Arabidopsis thaliana: one gene and its partner. The main gene of each other region encodes a partner of the protein of the gene in region 2 in a complex. Each region holds a gene or a part of one and is shown on either strand. Other genes may lie near its edges.

Evidence for each region. The genes of interacting proteins can lie anywhere in the genome.
Region 1: TIL1 (region 2) and DPB2 share a complex: the UniProt entries of both Arabidopsis thaliana proteins name them as parts of the DNA polymerase II.

Annotation. Positions count from the first base shown.
Region 1 is NC_003076.8:7,330,282-7,336,243, reverse strand, and holds DPB2 (DNA polymerase epsilon subunit B2), read left to right. Parts: upstream 1-1,961; 5' UTR 1,962-2,065; coding exon 2,066-2,234; intron 2,235-2,326; coding exon 2,327-2,495; intron 2,496-2,679; coding exon 2,680-2,833; intron 2,834-2,938; coding exon 2,939-3,070; intron 3,071-3,219; coding exon 3,220-3,297; intron 3,298-3,639; coding exon 3,640-3,744; intron 3,745-3,859; coding exon 3,860-3,940; intron 3,941-4,024; coding exon 4,025-4,155; intron 4,156-4,245; coding exon 4,246-4,340; intron 4,341-4,430; coding exon 4,431-4,530; intron 4,531-4,643; coding exon 4,644-4,758; intron 4,759-4,850; coding exon 4,851-4,961; coding exon of another isoform or gene 4,962-5,009; intron 5,010-5,032; coding exon 5,033-5,173; 3' UTR 5,174-5,419; downstream 5,420-5,962. Other genes in the region: AT5G22120 (coiled-coil protein), read left to right, coding at 1-20, 107-169, 272-517, 668-829, 1,132-1,221, 1,445-1,632; AT5G22100 (RNA cyclase family protein), read right to left, coding at 5,526-5,735, 5,829-5,962. UniProt on the Arabidopsis thaliana protein: As accessory component of DNA polymerase II participates in chromosomal DNA replication. Required for the timing and determination of cell fate during plant embryogenesis and root pole development, by promoting cell cycle and cell type patterning.
Region 2 is NC_003070.9:2,586,936-2,591,887, forward strand, and holds the start of TIL1 (DNA polymerase epsilon catalytic subunit), read left to right. Parts: upstream 1-1,918; 5' UTR 1,919-2,058; coding exon of another isoform or gene 2,059-3,300; 5' UTR 3,301-4,008; coding exon 4,009-4,167; intron 4,168-4,381; coding exon 4,382-4,447; intron 4,448-4,569; coding exon 4,570-4,629; intron 4,630-4,725; coding exon 4,726-4,821; intron 4,822-4,952. Other genes in the region: ADT6 (arogenate dehydratase 6), read right to left, coding at 2,059-3,300. UniProt on the Arabidopsis thaliana protein: DNA polymerase II, which participates in chromosomal DNA replication. Required for the timing and determination of cell fate during plant embryogenesis and root pole development, by promoting cell cycle and cell type patterning.

The DNA of each region.
Region 1 (5,962 bases), on a different chromosome or scaffold from region 2:
CTCAAGCTTTGATGCTGATGGTTGTTCTTCTAGAGTTCTCATTTGTTTTCTATCTGATTTCTCCTTTTTTACGCTGTTATTGATCGATTATCATGGATCTATTAAGGGAAAACGGAGGATTCCAAAGTATCTAGCAGTAATTCAGCTGCTCATGATTCTTCAGATGATGGTATGTTACATTTGTTGTGACTTAACAGATGCATTGACCTCTTGTATCAATCATGAGATCATGTATGTGTGTATGTTTACATGACCTTGATTTTTGTTGCAGATTGGGAAGCTCTTGCAGATGTTGAACCGAGTAAGTTACTCCCCGTAGAAGAGTTGCCTGAAATATCAAAGCTTTCGGTTGAAGAACCTAAAGTTCAAGGACCTAAGAGACGTGGAAGGGGAACGTTTACTTATAAGAGTGATGCAATGTACAGTGATCGAGATTTCTCTGAGTCGAGGTTTGATGATGATTCAGAAGATAACGATTTATCTCGTGAGTCAGAGAAGACTGATGAATCACTGAAATGTAAGTTGTGACTCTCAATGTTTCCTTTCTGTTTTTTGGATTGTATTATCTGTAACAAGTAGAAGCAGTATGTTAGATAAATCTGATTATGATTTATATGCTGCCTGTTCTAAATACAACACCTGAATTTCTATACGCTTTTAAATGCAGCCAAGTATGGCACACGCCATGTCCTCGTACTTGCTGGTTTTTCTCCAAGTTTGAGAACTACTGAATTGGAGAAGCTATTTAAAGACTTCAAAGATAGTGGATTTATCATTCGTTGGGTCAATGATACAACAGCACTTGCAGTCTTCAAAACCCCTTCAGCTGGTATATATATGTAATTTGATTTTTCATCATACATGCATTGGGTTAACTAGGAAAAATTTTAGTTTTATCCCACTACTGCATTAGTATTTCTCTGTTCTAGTGTTGCATTGTGTTATTAGATAGTGCATTGGTCTTCATCTAGGGTTGAACCACGTAAAATGCACGGCTTAGTTGTTAAGTAGGTTTAGTATCTTTACAGCTAAAAATGTAACTTCTGCCTTTGTTGCTAACTAAGTTATAAATCAGGATAGACTTTCTCCTATACAGCTAACTCTCGCTGTGTGTTTTGAATATTGATACAGCTCTAGAGGCTTGCAAGCATGTTCAATGTTCATTCACAATACGTGTACTCGATGATAACGATTCTCTTTTGGGCTCAATTTCTGGAAAAGGTAATCTACTCCTTTTTTATGGTTCTGCAAAATTATTCCCTCTTTTAATCAGATATAAGCTTCCCCACCAAATTTTTTTCTAATTTCGTTCACTTCTATATGTCATCAAATTATGAACTTTAACACACCATTTTTCCTTAATCCGCTTGATCAAGCTGTGTAATTAATTAAACACCAAAACACATATGTGTAACTATGTTATGTTAAATGATTTCTACTTCAGATTTGGAACCGCCGTCTCAAAGACCAAAGACATCAGCGAAAACAGCTCAACGGTTGATTGCTCACAGCATGGGATTGAAGCTACCGGCTTCTGGATTCGGGTCTAAAGAGCGAGACCAAGAAGCTGCCCGGAAAAACCGGATTGTCTCGAGACAGAAACAACGGGAAGATGCTTGGGGAGATGACTGACATTAACCATACAGTTTGGTTTGCTCAATTTTCCAGCTTACCGGAGCTATATTTCGTGTGTCTACTTATTGGTATATACAACCTCAATCCACTTGAGTGATCCCTTATAAGCATTGCTACTTGCTAGTGGTTGTTTGTAGTGTTTTTGTGTATTAAATTTAAACAGTTTAAAAATGCTTTAACCGGAAATGAAATCTGGACCCGTTATTATAATATTATCCAAAGTTCTAGACCCACCCGGTTTAGGTAGAGGGGCAATAATGTAAATAACGTATTAGCGAAAGAACAAAGAATTTCCACCGATTAGGGCTCTTCCACATTCGTTTCCCGCCGATTTGGGATTTTTCAGAGTTTTGCCGCCCAAAAAGAAATTAAAGAGAGAAGAAAAAAGTTTCGCAGATTCAGAGAGAGCAAAAAGAGAGAAGTAGCGAGAATGAGCAGCACCAGTCAGAAGAGGAAGAAGATACAGAAGAAATTCAAAAACAGAGGGTACAACCTCAAATTCGATGCCTTAGACGAGATTCTCGTTTTCGCCGATCAATTTCCCGACGACGATGACGGAGAAGCTATAGATCTTCTCCTCGATAACCTCCAGGAAACGCGTATGCCGCCCAATTCGTTTCTCTCTCGTATTATTCTGCGTAATTTGACATCGATTCTGAAGTCGTTGGGTATTTTGTAAAAAATGTTGCAGATAAATCATCCACTGTCGACGCGGAATCAGTTCGAGGATTGATAAATCGCTTGTTAGGAGCTCATAACGCCCCGGAGGAACCTACAACATCTGCTTCTTCCTTGGCGATCATCGACGCGTTTCTGGTGCCAAAGTTTGGATATGATTCTGTTAAAAAAAAGTTCAACGAGTAAGTCCACTCTAATTTTCCTACTAAGAGTGTGTCTAGTGAGTTTCTAGAGACGAGTTTGATAGGTGGCTTAGGGTTTATGTGTGGTAGATGATGGAACTTTATAGTGATGAATTGTAATGGTCGTTTGCGCGTTGTTGATTGTAGAATTGGACTGATTGAAGTAAATTTTAATTGATACTAGGCATACGAGTAGCTTGCCTATTCACGGTGAGGCTTCTGCAAAAACAGCTTTATACAGGGAACGATTCATGTTGTTGTCGCAGAGAGTTTCTCGTGCAGAGCATTTTTCTAGGCCAGCATTTGATGCTGAAATGTCGCAGTTTGAGAACAATGAGGTTGGTCTACGTTTTCTGTCAAATGTGGTTGTTCTCATTTTTCTTTTGGGTTATTTTTGTGTTCAAAACTAAACTAAGGAGTTTGTACTGTGTTATGTCTAGTAGATATCTTCAATCCAGTCTCTGATTTCTCAAAGGGGAAGGAAATGGGTGATGGGAGTGATATCACAGTTGGAAGATGGACATTTCTACCTGGAAGACCTTTCAGCTTCTGTAGAGATTGATCTGTCCAAAGCAATATCCTTTTTTTAAGTTGGTTCTAAAATCTGCAAAAACTGGACATAGCATTTCAACATATTGTTTAATGTCTCATGCTGATAAAGACATAGGAAGGAATTGCGTTTGAGTTTTTTGTGCTTTGAATAGTTTTCTTTGACAATCAGTACAAGATAACAACAGGATTCTTCACAGAGAATACTATAATTTTGGCAGAAGGCGAAATGCAGGTTAACGGTATCTTTCAGGTAATTAGAATTGAAGGTGGCAATTTTGGGCCTTTCTCTCCCCCATTCTGAGTTAATTACTTTTTAACTAGGGAGATATTTGTATAATTTGCTGAGGTGCACATTCATAGATTTTACGATTTTGTTTTATTTTTCATGTTGGGGTCAAGATATTAGGCTATTAGCTATATGAAGGATCATAGAACTAAGTCATGTATAGGGTCCTTTCTGTGACAAAACATACGTACACCTGTCTCCAATAAACACTTGATCAGATTGCCTGTAACAAAGCTCAGTTTTTCATAATATGTTCTTTGACCAACTCATCCTCTTCTAAAAGTGTATTCTCATCTTGTGGTGAAGGTGATTACATGTGGATTTCCTCCCTTAGAAGACAGGGACAAAACACTAAAGGCGCATTCTGAATATGATTTCTTCGGAGGCGGCACACTAACTAAAGAAGAGATGGTAATCTTTGATTCGTTGTTTGTACTCGGATTGAGAATTTTGTAAATTTTCAATGCAATCCCTTACATAGTAGGTAAACCACACTAAAAATAATGTGTTTTTTGCCTGCCAACAGATTAAACTTGCAGACCTTGAAAGACAAGCGGTGAATGACACATTTGTCATATTGTCTGACATATGGTTGGACGACGAAGAGGTGAGTTGGTGTACCAAGTACTCTATTTAGCATCAATATTTTGTGACATTGCTTGATCGCCACAATATGTTGTCCGTAGAGAAGGTTATGAGGAAGCTGGAAACTGTTCTTGACGGTTTTGAAAGTGTGGAGACAGTACCCTCCTTGTTTGTTTTTATGGGAAATTTTTGTTCTCGCCCATGCAACTTATCCTTTGGTTCGTATTCAAGCCTTAGGTAAGGGATCATTGTAGTTAGAATCTTCAATTGTTAAATGGGAATTTCTTCTTATATATTGTCGATAACCTGTGTCCATTTCTTTCGCAGGGAGCAGTTTGGTAAACTTGGGAGAATGATTGGAAACCATCCACGGCTTAAAGAAAATAGTCGGTTTTTATTCATTCCAGGTCCTGAGGACGCAGGTACCATCATCACCACCATTACTATGTAAATAATCTTTAACTGAGATCCATGAGGTAACATGACTTATAAAATCTCATCATATTTGACAGGTCCCTCAACAGTCTTGCCAAGATGCGCTTTACCGAAATATTTAACCGAAGAGCTTCGAAACATTATTCCCAATGCAATATTTTCAAGCAATCCTTGCAGGTGAGTTTTCTATACGATGTGTGAACTCTCTATTGCTCATCATTAGTTTTTTTTTCTTTTTCTTTTGAATTGTGAACATTTGCCACACATAATCTTGTCTTTGTAAAATGCAGAGTAAAGTTCTATAACCAAGAGATTGTGTTCTTCCGACAAGATCTTCTGTATCGGATGCGTCGTTCATGCTTAGTAACCCCTTCCTCAGAAGAAACGAATGACCCTTTTAAGCATGTAAACACATCTCTCGTCTCTGTTATTTTCTTACGTATGATTTAAAAGTTTTCCTGGTAAATGATGGAAACTCCTGAAACGTGTTGTTACAGCTTGTCTACACAATAACTCATCAGAGCCATCTATGTCCTCTACCTCTCATGGTGCAACCCATCATTTGGAACTACGATCACGCTCTTCGACTGTACCCAACTCCTCATACGGTATTCATTTCTATATCAAATCCTGCACGAAACCCGCCTTATAACTAAGTATTGTTGTTGTTTCAAAACAGATAGTATTAGGTGACAAGAGTGAGCAAGAGGTTTGCAAATTTGGGGGAACAACATGTTTCAATCCAGGCTCTTTCTCAACTGATAGCACATTCGTAGCTTATCGACCTTCCACTCAAGAAGTCGAACTCTCTGCTTTGTGATTCTCCTTTTAAAATTCATCCCAGGAGATCAATTGAGTGCCATTTTTACCAGACAAGCCTGAGCTTAAAAGGTATACAGAAAGAGTGAAAAAAATACTTCATGCCCCATTCTTTGCTTCTCTGTTGTATACAAGTTGTATCCTTATAAATTAAGTATTCTTTTAGGATATGTCTTAAGGTAAACAAATAATAGTCATAAATTTATATCAGACAAGGGTCGATCTAAAGTAAAAAATGCATAAATTTAAATGCAAATTGCCATTATGATTAGGTCAAAAATACACATCCACTCAAATTATAGAAAAGCGCTTTCATTCAGACAAAATTGTAAAAGGTGACTGTGAGTGAGAAATCAAGAGAGCTTTCTGGAGAGGTTAATTAAGCCACTTCCAGTACACTTGAGTATAACAGTCCCAGTCAATGGATCAGGTTTGATGGCAAACTTAACTCCCAGAAACTCCTTAATGTTCCTCAACGTCTCCACTGCATATGGAGATAATGTTCCAACTCGAACCTTTGACACGTCTTGTTCAGATAACGCACACAGTAGAAACAACAATCCCTGTAAAAAACCTCAGAGAATCAACAACACACCCACTTAAAGTCTGATCGATCTTGGTGTCTATGGTTAATGTTTTCAAATTTTAAAACGTACCTGGTGTGTTGAATCAACAACTCCACCTTTTTCAATCTCTTGAAGAAGCCATGAAGCTACTTCAACTCCTGTGTCTTCTGCTGGCGATCTCTCTTTCTTCTCTACATCGAGCTCTCCAGTTTCGTCTGGTCTTT
Region 2 (4,952 bases):
ATATGAAAATAAATGGAGAATTCAAAATATTTTGGAAACAAATCTCTTAAATCTTATTTTTTATATATAATTTCAAAATAATCGATTTTGGAGACAATCTTAAATTTTCAATACATCCAACAAACAGTAATAGAAAAAGCAAATTGGATAATAGTAATAACATATCAATATAACATGTTAATATGTATATTAAATCCTTATTACAGTTTTACATTTTCATTATAACTGACAGAATTTTTAAAATTGAAAGAAATTTCTTTCGGTTAATAATAATAATACTAGATTTTCACCCGCGATATACCGTAGGGACAATTTATATTTTAAAATTAGTATATATAAAAGTTTGTAATTTGTAACAATCTATGTAACTATCTATAAAATATTTTTATTTTATAGTTTAGAATTGTTATTAAGTAACGTCCTGCCAAACTCGTCCTGCCAAACTCGTCCTGCCAAACTCGTCCTGCCAAACTCGTCCCGCCAACCCATCCCGTAAAAAAAGCTCATTTATTTTATTAATGTTGATCTTCTTTATCATATGTTTATGAATCATTGTCTAAATATTTTGTAATTTTGTAGTAATTAAATGTTATCAAATATCTCTGCGGTTTGATGATTATAATTGAATTGTAATAGTCATGAAGAAAAACAATATCAATAATGATAATTTTGTAGTAATTAAATGATATTAAATATTTTGAAAGTTTTATTTTAGTAACCAATCGTGTAGTTAATGTAAAGAGATTTTAAAAAAATTTATTAAATGTCAAATATTTAATTCGAAGATTTTTTTTCTAATTATCAAAAACAAATATTAAAATCCAGTGGCAATCATTGTAAATAATTCTCAACTACAAGATTTATTTCACAAAATAGTTGCAAAAATGTATATATAGACTAGATTTTAACCCGCGGTACACCGCGGAGATAATTTTTTTTATTTAAACTAGTATATATAAAATTTTGCAAATTATCTCTATCTATAAAATATTTTTATTTTATAGTTTACAATTGTTATTAAGTAACGTCCTTCCAAACCCGTTCTGCCAAACCCGTCCTGTAAAAAAAAACCGCGGTACCCCGCTAGTTGAAATTTATAATTAAAATAAATATTTTATGGATTGCGATTGTGTTTTAGTTTGTCAAACAAAATTTTGTTTTAAATAGTTGTCGAAATCTAGTTCAAATTTTGGAGAAATAAGATTTAGTGAATTGATAAGAAATGTATTTAGTTGCGTTTGCTCATTTTAAGGGATTGCAATTGTCTTTTGGGTTGTCAAACATTTTTTGTTTTAAATAGTTGCTGAAATCTAGTTCAAATTTTGGAAAAATCTGCGTGATATATGGGATTGAAATATATTTGGAATGTTTTTCGTTTGTTAATCAATTTATTGCTGAAAAAACTAATAATTAAAAGCCAGTGACAGCCATTGTAAATAAGTTTCAACTCCAGGATTTATTTCACAAAATGGATGCAAAAATATATATATAGATTATATCTATATATATGTATTTTAAAATCTTTCTCACTTTAACCTCAACATCCAAAGTTTATATGTATATATAGTTTATTTGCTCGATATGCAAAAGCGTCTGTAGTCCAACGGTTAGGATAATTGCCTTCCAAGCAATAGACCCGGGTTCGACTCCCGGCAGACGCATTTATATTTTTTAACAATCTTTTCTGAAAATTTGAAAAGACAACATTTTGCATACACCAAACATATGTACATATGTTGTGTTCTTGTTGGACTCGATGGTTTATCAACCCCAGGTCCAATAGGACAACACGAAATTATCATACAAACCACAATGATTGATTGTCCCCAAACCCTTATTTCTGTTACCAACTCCACCATATTGTCACAACTTTTCCCCTGTTATCAAAACTTCCAAATCAATGTTCTATGAATTTTAGTTTAAATTTTTACCAATTGTTTATTGATTTATACGAATTCAATCAAATGTAAAACACCAAACAGAATGGATCAGTAAATATAAAACTTTGTTATCTTCTCCAAAATTTACATTTTCATGTGTGTATAGACTATAGTATGGTTACGATGAAGTTGATGATGTTGGTGACCAAGGAGTCATATCCATGGGATAACTCCCAAGCACCCGCAAGAACGATGTAAACTCCTGAACCTCGGCAAGCGCGTTCTGAGCACGCGCCTCCGCCATCGAGGCCTCGAAGTCAACATAAAACATGTACTCAAAATGCTTCGCCGTCCCGACATTGGCATCATCCACGACCCTGATCGGACGGTTGTGATTCGGCCTCGATTCGATCTTCGTCAAGCTAATGTCTCTGAAGGCGAAAGCAGAGAGCACCTTGAAAAGCACGCTGGTTCCTTTCTCGTGCGCAAAGACAATGCTAGTCTTGAACGGTCTATCTGTTCTAGGTATGATTGGCTCACGCGCCAGCATCACGAAGCGCGTCACGTTACTCACGTCGTCCTGAATCCCATCTTCCAAAATCTCCAACCCGTATATCTCGGCGGCGCGTGCACTCGCGATAGCGGCTGTGTCGCGGAGGTTGTTAGAGGCGATGAACTCAGCGGCTCCTGCGGTGTCATCAACTGCCTCACGTGCGACATTAAGTCCGAGCTTTGTGAGCGTGTGCTCACACTGAGCGAGACCTTGAGGGTGTGAGATCACACGTGTGAGAAACTCTTTACGAACGCCGGGAAGAGCCAGTAAACAGTGATGAACAGGGAGTTGAACTTCGCCGACTATATGAAGACGGTGACGGAGGAGGAGATCGTAATTACGGTGGATAGAACCGCCGAGAGAGTTCTCCACCGGTAAAACAGCACGATCTGCGATCCAAAGCTCCACCGCTTGAAACGCAACCTCAAATTGATCGCAAGGTATAGCTTGACAATTAGGATAAGCTTTACCAGCGGCTGCTTCAGAGTAAGCACCGGGAACACCTTGATAAGCGACGCGTAGATTAGATCCGTGCATCGGAGCCGGCGAGAGATCCGTCATGCTAAGGGGTTTCAGTGGATTATGACGATGCTGTGGAACCAACGGATTGCTATCAGATTTCTCAATCGGAACAAGATTCATTCCTGGAACTCGTGCGGCGGCGCTGTTATGGCCGTTGAGATGATCAACTCCGCCGGAAACTGGAGGCACAGGTAAGGATTCAGATTCTTCTTGAGAAATAACCTTGCTTGTTAGAATAGCGCAGGAGCTCTGCCATTCAGAACGACCAGATCGCGCGATAAGCGCAGTCGCCGTCGCCGGCTGGCTAGCACCTAATATTGGAGAAGAAGATGATAGAGCTTTCATGTTTTAGCAATGGCGTCTTAAAATTGGTTATTCAAGCTCAATGAAATAGCAAAGTCGAGAATGTAGAAAAACATGTTTTCCTGGGGTAGTTCGTTTGTGTGGTCACTTCTCCACCTACCACAACCACCTTACAAGTCACAGTCGTATGGACCATACCGGCATTTAACTGAAAATTAATTCGACCCGATCCGGTTTAAGTTATTTGGTTTCATAAACCGATTTTCTCCATACCCCAATTGAGATATGAGAGTGTTTAAGACTTTACCGGAGGTGATTCGAGTTCAAGGAGACAGTCTACACTTGTGACTTGTGAGTCGGAGCTTGAGAACACCTACAGCTACAAGAAGGAAGTTTGTTTTCGCCTCGAGCTAGAAATCCTAATTTGTCATCATCGTCTCGAATGGAAAGGCTGTGTTCGAAATCCAAAATGCAAATGCGATAAAGATGGGCTTTTAGATAGGCCCAATTAGAGTCCAAAAATGAGGGGCTTATCAGTGATTTGGTTGCCAATACCAAAAGCGCGGGAAAATGATAAAAGATTTTTTTTTCCTCTCTACTCTTTCACTCACTTTCTCCGGCATCCACGAAGCCCTACCAGTAAAAGCCCTTTTGTTGACCCTAAATTCTCCTTCAAAGCTTCTCCAGGAATAAAGCTCCTCTCTATATAGGAATCTCTCTCTGTCCCGCGTAATTTATAATCGCCGCAAAATGAGCGGAGATAATCGAAGACGGGATCGAAAGGATACGCGGTGGTCGAAGAAGCCTAAGGTAGTGAACACTGCGGAAGATGAACTCGAATCTAAACTCGGATTTGGGCTTTTCTCTGAAGGTGAAACCCGACTTGGGTGGTTACTCACATTCTCATCGGTAAGTTCTCCGACACTCTAATCTGGACTCAACCTTGTTAATTGAGAGTATTTGAGTAGGTTTCGGATTCGATTATATGTGAATTTCTGTAAATTAAATATAAGCATTGGCGACTGAACCATACAATGAAACTCCATTAGTGCGAGAATTTAGGATTCTAGGTAATGTCAAAGTACTAGTATTTACTGATTGGATAATCTACTACGTTTTGCAGTCATCTTGGGAAGATCGCGATACTGGGAAAGTCTATAGTTGTGTGGACCTTTACTTTGTTACTCAGGTGAGCTGCTATAATTATGGTCATTACTCATTACTATGTCAGCTTCGTATAAGTTGATGAACGATTATATTTTTGTTGTTGCATTTTTCTAAATAGTTAACTGAGTTGAGGATTTTTTTCAGGACGGCTTTTCTTTCAAGACAAAGTACAAGTTCCGTCCTTACTTTTATGCAGCCACGAAAGTATGATAGTTTCTCTCTGGACATTATCGGAATTCTCCTTGAATCATTCATGTATTTTCATTTTATATGTCAATAAACTGCAATGCCAAATTACAGGACAAAATGGAATTGGAACTCGAAGCCTACTTGAGACGCCGATATGAAAGACAAGTTGCTGATATTGAGATTGTTGAAAAAGAAGATCTTGATCTTGTAAGTCAGTAAAGCATACTATGATTATTATTAGTTTAAGTCTGACTTCCTCATTGTGTGATGTAGTTGACTAGTGTCTTCCACCAGTTGATTAATGTTGTTTCTCTACTCATATCAGAAATATTTGCTAC